2 linked regions of the Macaca mulatta genome follow. The protein of the gene in region 1 interacts with the protein of each later gene in a pairwise test. Links are inferred from orthologs where the notes say so. Each region holds a gene or a part of one and is shown on either strand. Other genes may lie near its edges.

Evidence for each region.
Region 2: the proteins of SIAH2 (region 1) and USP19 interact in a two-hybrid assay, tested with the Homo sapiens proteins (2 studies listed by BioGRID). The link is inferred for Macaca mulatta from reciprocal best matches to the Homo sapiens genes SIAH2 and USP19.

What each region holds. Positions count from the first base shown.
Region 1 is NC_133407.1:53,778,833-53,781,806, forward strand, and holds the end of SIAH2 (E3 ubiquitin-protein ligase SIAH2), read right to left. Parts: intron 2,357-2,974; coding exon 1,799-2,356; 3' UTR 768-1,798; downstream 1-767. UniProt on the Homo sapiens protein: E3 ubiquitin-protein ligase that mediates ubiquitination and subsequent proteasomal degradation of target proteins.
Region 2 is NC_133407.1:112,547,832-112,551,649, reverse strand, and holds part of USP19 (ubiquitin carboxyl-terminal hydrolase 19), read left to right. Parts: intron 1-198; coding exon 199-309; intron 310-389; coding exon 390-491; intron 492-1,849; coding exon 1,850-1,990; intron 1,991-2,076; coding exon 2,077-2,195; intron 2,196-2,427; coding exon 2,428-2,565; intron 2,566-2,662; coding exon 2,663-2,976; intron 2,977-3,109; coding exon 3,110-3,220; intron 3,221-3,308; coding exon 3,309-3,525; intron 3,526-3,611; coding exon 3,612-3,764; intron 3,765-3,818. UniProt on the Homo sapiens protein: Deubiquitinating enzyme that regulates the degradation of various proteins by removing ubiquitin moieties, thereby preventing their proteasomal degradation. Stabilizes RNF123, which promotes CDKN1B degradation and contributes to cell proliferation.

The sequences.
Region 1 (2,974 bases):
TGGTAGTATGCTAATGAAATTGGGATACTGAGGGCCAGGTATGGTGGCTCACGCCTTAATCCCAGCACTTTGGGAGGCTGAGGCAAGTGGATCACTTGAGGTCAGGAGTTCGAGACCAGTCTGGCCAACATGGTGAAACCTCATCTCTACTAAAAATACAAAGATTAGCCGGGTGGGGTGGCATAGGCCTCTAGGCCCAGTTACTCGGGAGGCTGAGGCAGGAGAATTGCTTGAACCCAGAGGCAGAGGTTGCAGTGAGCTGAGATCATGCCATTGCACTCCAGCCTCCGTCTCAAAAACAAAAACAACAACAACAACAAAAAAGGGAAACTGGGACACTGAAGTAAGCAGCCTTCAATCCTTGCTGAGCATTTGGCCCTAATCCTCTCAATTCTTTTGAGAGTTTAGGGTTGGGACTGAGGCAGTGGGTCACCATGGATCAACCCTAGCACTCTGGATGTCAGCACTGGCCAAGCGTCTTCCTTCTGACTCTGTAAAGCAGGAGCAATCCTCTTCTTGCACAGCTACTGGCACCATCAGATAGAAACGACAGCCCTGGGAGGAGACCTGCTGCACTGACATTCAGTGGTTCAGACACGTGAGCCCGGACCCCAGTGCTGTCATGGACCCACGCCATGACTTGGCCCAGTGACTGTTTCCACAGTGGAAACAGTGAAAGTTCCAACCCCAGATGTAGTGATGAAGGTTCACTACATGAATTGCACACAGTAGATGCTCAATAAATACCCGTTATTCAATTAGGGAAATGAAGCACAACATCCATTTTTGGAAAATATTTATTAAAAAACTAGTGAATGTGGCAGAAAAACAAAACCAACACACAGCTTTAAATAGCAAGCATATGACACACCGGTTATAAAGCTTTTCCAACTCTACTGACCTCGTCTTTCACACCAGCTACTGTCGACGAGGGCTTCCGAGGGAAGCCATGTGTAAACGGGTCATCTGTACTAGTGGTGAGCAAAACTAATTACATGAGAACTATCAATGGCCATATGACTTTCTTTCCTAGGCAATCCACCCAAAACATAGGTGAGTGACCAAATCTCAGGCGTGTGTTCATGTGGATCTATAGTTCTACTAGTTTTAATTTGAGGGTTGGGGGAGGTTAGGGGATGAAACAGTAGAAAGACAAACAGTATCGGCAGAGGGCAACCTTAAAGCACCTTTAAAATCTGGACCCTTTCCCACAATTTAACCCAGTAATTCTCAAACATTACTGCTGAAAAGAATCACCTGATGAGACTGTTAAATTGGCAGGCTCCCTAAATCTGCAATTTTAAGATAAGCACTCCGGGTGATTCAGTGTCTATTAGCCAGCCATCCTATTTGAGAAACACTGTTTAAAATGCATTAAAACAATTCCTACATCCCACAAACAAAAGTAAAGGAATCTGCTGACAGTCACTGTGCTTTTGTCAATGTCAAGGGACCAATACGCGAAGGCAGGCAGGAAGGGGCCTCCCATTCCTGACACACTGATCTATAGAAGCCCTGTGCAACAGCCTGTCAAGTGTTGTTTAGGGAGTAAATACAATTTAATAAGAGTTGTTTTAGATCACAGAACAGCCTCCAAATTACCAACAGGCCAACCCCATTCATCCCAGGTTAATGAACTTTGTTGGGTTGAAGCCAGATGGGAAACTGCTGTTCAAACAAAACACGGGTAATTGTGGGTCCTGACTTGTGAAGACATATGGAATAAAACATCTATAAAAACCTTTATTAAACATAGAGCACTATGCCCAAATAATTTTGATGGTTTACGAAAGTCACATCATGGACAACATGTAGAAATAGTCACATTGATTCCAAGGTTCCCATTATCTGCAAAAAGATGTGCTATGGCTGTGTCGAAAACAAGGCAGTCGCTGTTCATGATGGCCGCAGCCACACCGTCATGAATCGACCGGGGTGTGGCCTCCCAGGTCAATCTCCGCCGGTTCCCATTCAACTCCAGTCTATAGGCAAAGTTCTCAGCTTGCTTGCGGGTGCCAATGAGCAGGACGATGGCAAAAAACTGCTGGTGGCCTTCGTACTTCTCTTGTTTCTCCAGCACCAGCATGAAGTGATGGCCAAAACATGACTGCATCATCACCCAGTCGACAGCCCCTGGCAAGTTAATGTCTGTAGCTAGAAAGACGATGTCTTCTCCTTGGAGGGTGGTAATGCTCTTGTGGGCATGCATGAGATGGGACATCACAGCTTCCAGGGACCCCTGCCACTTGCAGGAGGCACCAGGACAAGGGCAGGAGTAGGGACGGTATTCACAGATGTCTTCATGTTCTGGTTTCTCCGTATGGTGCAGGGTCAGGGAACAGCCCGTGGTGGCATACTGCAGAGAAAGAAATGCATTGAGCCATTGGGCCTTCTCAAAACTTCTATTGCTTCAACCCTCTCTGAGTACTTAACTACTCCCTTTTCCTGGCCTTAAACTGGTCTTGGCTACTTTTGCTCAAAACAAGTGAAATATTCAAGACTAAAAGTCTCAGTCTCTGCTCATCATCAATGCTGTCATGCATAAAATCAAGGGTCTTTTCCTGAACCAGAAATATGCTGTTTTCCATGCCCCCTGTTCTGCTGTCAAAAGGATAAGAACTAAAGTTCTCTTACTATGCACATCTCAAAATTGTTGAGTAAGCCCTGTAAAATCTGGTCTTCCTCATATTTTCGGTGAAGCTGTTTTTTAAAGAATTCAATTGCTTGGGGGTAGGGATGGGGTTGGGCAAGGATTATTATATTATCCCCAGATTAGTTTTTACATACAGACAATATGAACAACAGTATAATTCTATTGTCCCCCTCCACTGCTTCCTGGCTCAAACTGGTGACTGGCAGGCAGGCCGTGGGGAAGGCTGCCCTTTGGTTCCTTGCTCTTTGCTGCTGGCATGACCAGGCTAGGGCAGCGGAGGCCTGGAGGCCCCTTCATACTGCTAGAAATATTACCCCACTG
Region 2 (3,818 bases), about 59 Mb from region 1:
GGCTTTGAGTGCCAGAAAGGAGGATTGTTATCTCCTGGTGGTCCTCCTGCCCCATCTAGTGTCCTGAAGCCTGAGAGTTTGCTGGTTGGCTGTGGAGGCCTTGAGAGCCATCAGAAGCCCTGGAATGGGCTCTTTGGGCATGAACATTTTGTCTCCCACTCTGTGTGCAGCTACCCAGTGCCACCTCTACATCCACAGGTCTCCATCACTTTTGACCCGTTTCTTTATCTGCCGGTGCCCTTGCCACAAAAGCAAAAGGTTCTCCCTGTCTTTTATTTCGCCCGAGAGCCCCACAGCAAGCCCATTAAGGTGAGGAGTAAGCCCCTACCCTCTGGGCTGTTCTAGAGAACGTGGCCCACCTCCCTCACTGACTGCCCTTTTTGCCACAGTTCCTAGTGAGCGTCAGCAAGGAGAACTCCACTGCCAGTGAAGTATTGGACTCCCTCTCTCAAAGCGTTCGTGTGAAGCCTGAGAATCTGCGTTTGGCGGAGGTACCTTTGTCTTTCTTTGGGCTATTATATATATGGATATGTGTGTGTACTCACCATAGACACGTGTGTATAGTCATTGGCATCTACAGACATACACATGGGCTGGGCACAGTGGCTCACGCCTGTAATCCCAGCACTTTGTGAGGCTGAGGTGGGCAGATCACTTGAGCCCAGGAGTTTGGGACCAGCCTGGGCAACTTGGTGGAACACTGTCTCTACAAGAAATTAAAAAAGCAGCTGGGCGTGGTGGTACATGCTTATAGTGCCAGCTACTTGGGAGGCTGAGGCAAGAGGCTCACTTGAGCCCGGGAGGTGGAGGTTGCAGTGAGCAGAGATTGCACCACAGCACTCCAGCCTGGGTGACAGAGTGAGACTCTGTCTCAAAAATAAATAAATAGATAAAAAATAAAAATAGGGCTGGGCATGGTGGCTCATGCCTGTAATCCCAGCCCTTTGGGAGGACAAGGTGGGTGGATCACGAGGTCAGGAGATCCAGACCATCCTGGCTAACATGGTGAAACCCCACCTCTACTAAAAATACAAAAAAAAAAAAAATTAGCTGGGCATGTTGGCACATGTCTGTAGTCCCAGCTACTCAGGAGGCTGAGGCAGGAGAATCGCTTGAACCTGGGAGGCAGAGGTTGTAGTGAGCCGAGATCGCGCCACTGCACTCCAGCCTGGGCGACAGAGCAAGACTCAAAAATAAAAATAAAATAAAAATAGACATACAAATGAGTATGCCTGTGACTGTACAAAAACAGGTGATGTGCTGTTATTTTGTCTGTGCAACAGAAGTGCCTTCAGTTTCTAGCCATTATCAGGGTTTATTCCCCTTTGTGGTGGTGGATCCCAACTGCATTTCCCTTTTTAGACAAGGAGCTTGAACTGCAGGACTATACCTATGTTCGCTCTGCTTCTCCCTCTATCCTGCTGCTCTCTCCTTTTATCCCAGTTGTGTGTGCTAGCTCTCCCCAGGGGTTCCTAGCCTTTAGCCTGACAGTGTCGATTTTCTCAGGGGTAAGAGTTGGGAGGAGGCTCTTTGAATATGGACCCTCCGTGATAGTATGTTACAGTCTTATAAGGCTATTCTAGTTATAGCAGGGCAGAGTCCCTCAGTGTGGAGAGCTGGTGTGGTTGATATCTGCCTCATACCCGGTCTTTCAGGCCCTCTGATGCATCAGGCTCCGTATGGCATTGGACACTGAGATGGGTGCCAGTAGAGGCTAAGCCTCTTTGGGCCTACAGACCTCACCACTGCCCACATAGACCCACGGACGGGCCAAGCCTTCTTAAACTCTGGGGCAGGGCTAGGGAAAGGGCTTATCCTCATGTGGGATCTGTGTGTTCTGTGTCCTCAGGTAATTAAGAATCGTTTCCATCGTGTGTTCCTGCCCTCCCACTCACTGGACACTGTGTCCCCATCTGATATGCTCCTCTGCTTTGAGCTGTTATCCCCAGAGTTGGCTAAGGAGCGGGTAGTGGTGCTAGAGGTGCAACAGGTGAGTGGGGGCCAACCTGATGGCATAGGGCCCCGGTGGGTGGGGTACTCCTGCCTGGTCTTGCTGAGCCAGACGACCCACCCTAGCGCCCCCAGGTGCCCAGCGTCCCCATCTCCAAGTGTGCAGCCTGCCAGCGGAAGCAACAGTCGGAGGATGAAAAGCTGAAGCGCTGTACCCGGTGCTACCGTGTGGGCTACTGCAACCAGTGAGGACCCCCATCGTCTCCCCGACCCTTTATTTCCACCTTCCATGTGCCACCCTGCCCCTTCCCTTCACACCAAGGCACATGTGCTTAAGCTTTCTACTTGCCTACTTCACCAGGTTCTGGGGGAGGCAGGGCTGGCATACCCAGTTCCCAGGGACTATGACTAGCCCCCATTATGGAGTTATAGGAGATGGGGCTAAAGGCCTTATCCTTGTCTTCCTCTTCCCCTCAGGCTCTGCCAGAAAACCCACTGGCCTGACCACAAGGGCCTCTGCCGACCTGAGAACATTGGCTACCCCTTCCTGGTCAGTGTACCTGCCTCACGCCTCACTTATGCCCGCCTTGCTCAGCTGCTAGAGGGCTATGCCCGGTAAGTGCCTAGTGGTTGGACTAGAGTGGTGTAGGTGGGAGCAGAGGTGCTAGATGGGCTGGTCAGGAGTCCTACTTGCCTTGCTCTCTGTTGCCAGGTACTCTGTGAGTGTGTTCCAGCCACCCTTTCAGCCTGGCCGCATGGCCTTGGAGTCTCAGAGCCCTGGCTGCACCACACTGCTCTCCACTGGCTCCCTGGAGGCTGGGGACAGTGAGAGGGACCCCATTCAGCCACCTGAGCTCCAGCTGGTGACCCCTATGGCTGAGGGGGACACAGGGCTTCCCCGGGTGTGGGCAGCCCCTGACCGGGGTCCTGTGCCCAGCACCAGTGGAATTTCTTCTGAGATACTGGCCAGTGGGCCCACTGAGGTTGGCTCCTTGCCTGCTGGCGAGAGGGTGTCCCGACCCGAAGGTAAGATCCAGTGAAAAGCTCTGGGAGCTGGGGAGGAAGGTAGGGGAGGATGGGGGGGCTGTTGTTTAGGACCTCGTGGGCCTGGTGAGGCCCTGATGGGCAGGGAAGCTTTGATTATCATGTTCTCACACAGCCGCTGTGCCTGGGTACCAGCACCCAAGTGAAGCTATGAATGCCCACACACCACAGTTCTTCATCTATAAAATTGACTCATCCAACCGAGAGCAGCGGCTAGAGGACAAAGGTGTCTGAGGCCGTGGGTGAGAGCCATGGGGTGGGTTGAGCTGGCTGTTCTCCACAGCTGCATGACCTCTCTCCCTGCCAATCTCCAGGAGACACCCCACTGGAGCTGGGTGACGATTGTAGCCTGGCTCTCGTCTGGAGGAACAATGAGCGTTTGCAGGAGTTTGTGTTGGTAGCCTCCAAGGAGCTGGAATGTGCTGAGGATCCAGGCTCTGCCGGTGAGGCTGCCCGGGCCGGCCACTTCACCCTGGACCAGTGCCTCAACCTCTTCACACGGCCTGAGGTGCTGGCACCCGAGGAGGCCTGGTGAGAACAGAGCAGCAAGCAGATAAGGGGGCAGGACGGAGAAGAGAGAGACTTGCTGGTCCTGACCCAACCTCTGTTCCCACCAGGTACTGCCCACAGTGCAAACAGCACCGTGAGGCCTCCAAGCAGCTGTTGCTATGGCGCCTGCCAAATGTTCTCATCGTGCAGCTCAAGCGCTTCTCCTTTCGTAGTTTTATCTGGCGTGACAAGATCAATGACTTGGTGGAGTTCCCTGTTCGGTAAGCAATGGACCTTGGTAACTGTGCGTGGGGTGTGAGGACCAAGGTGGGCAT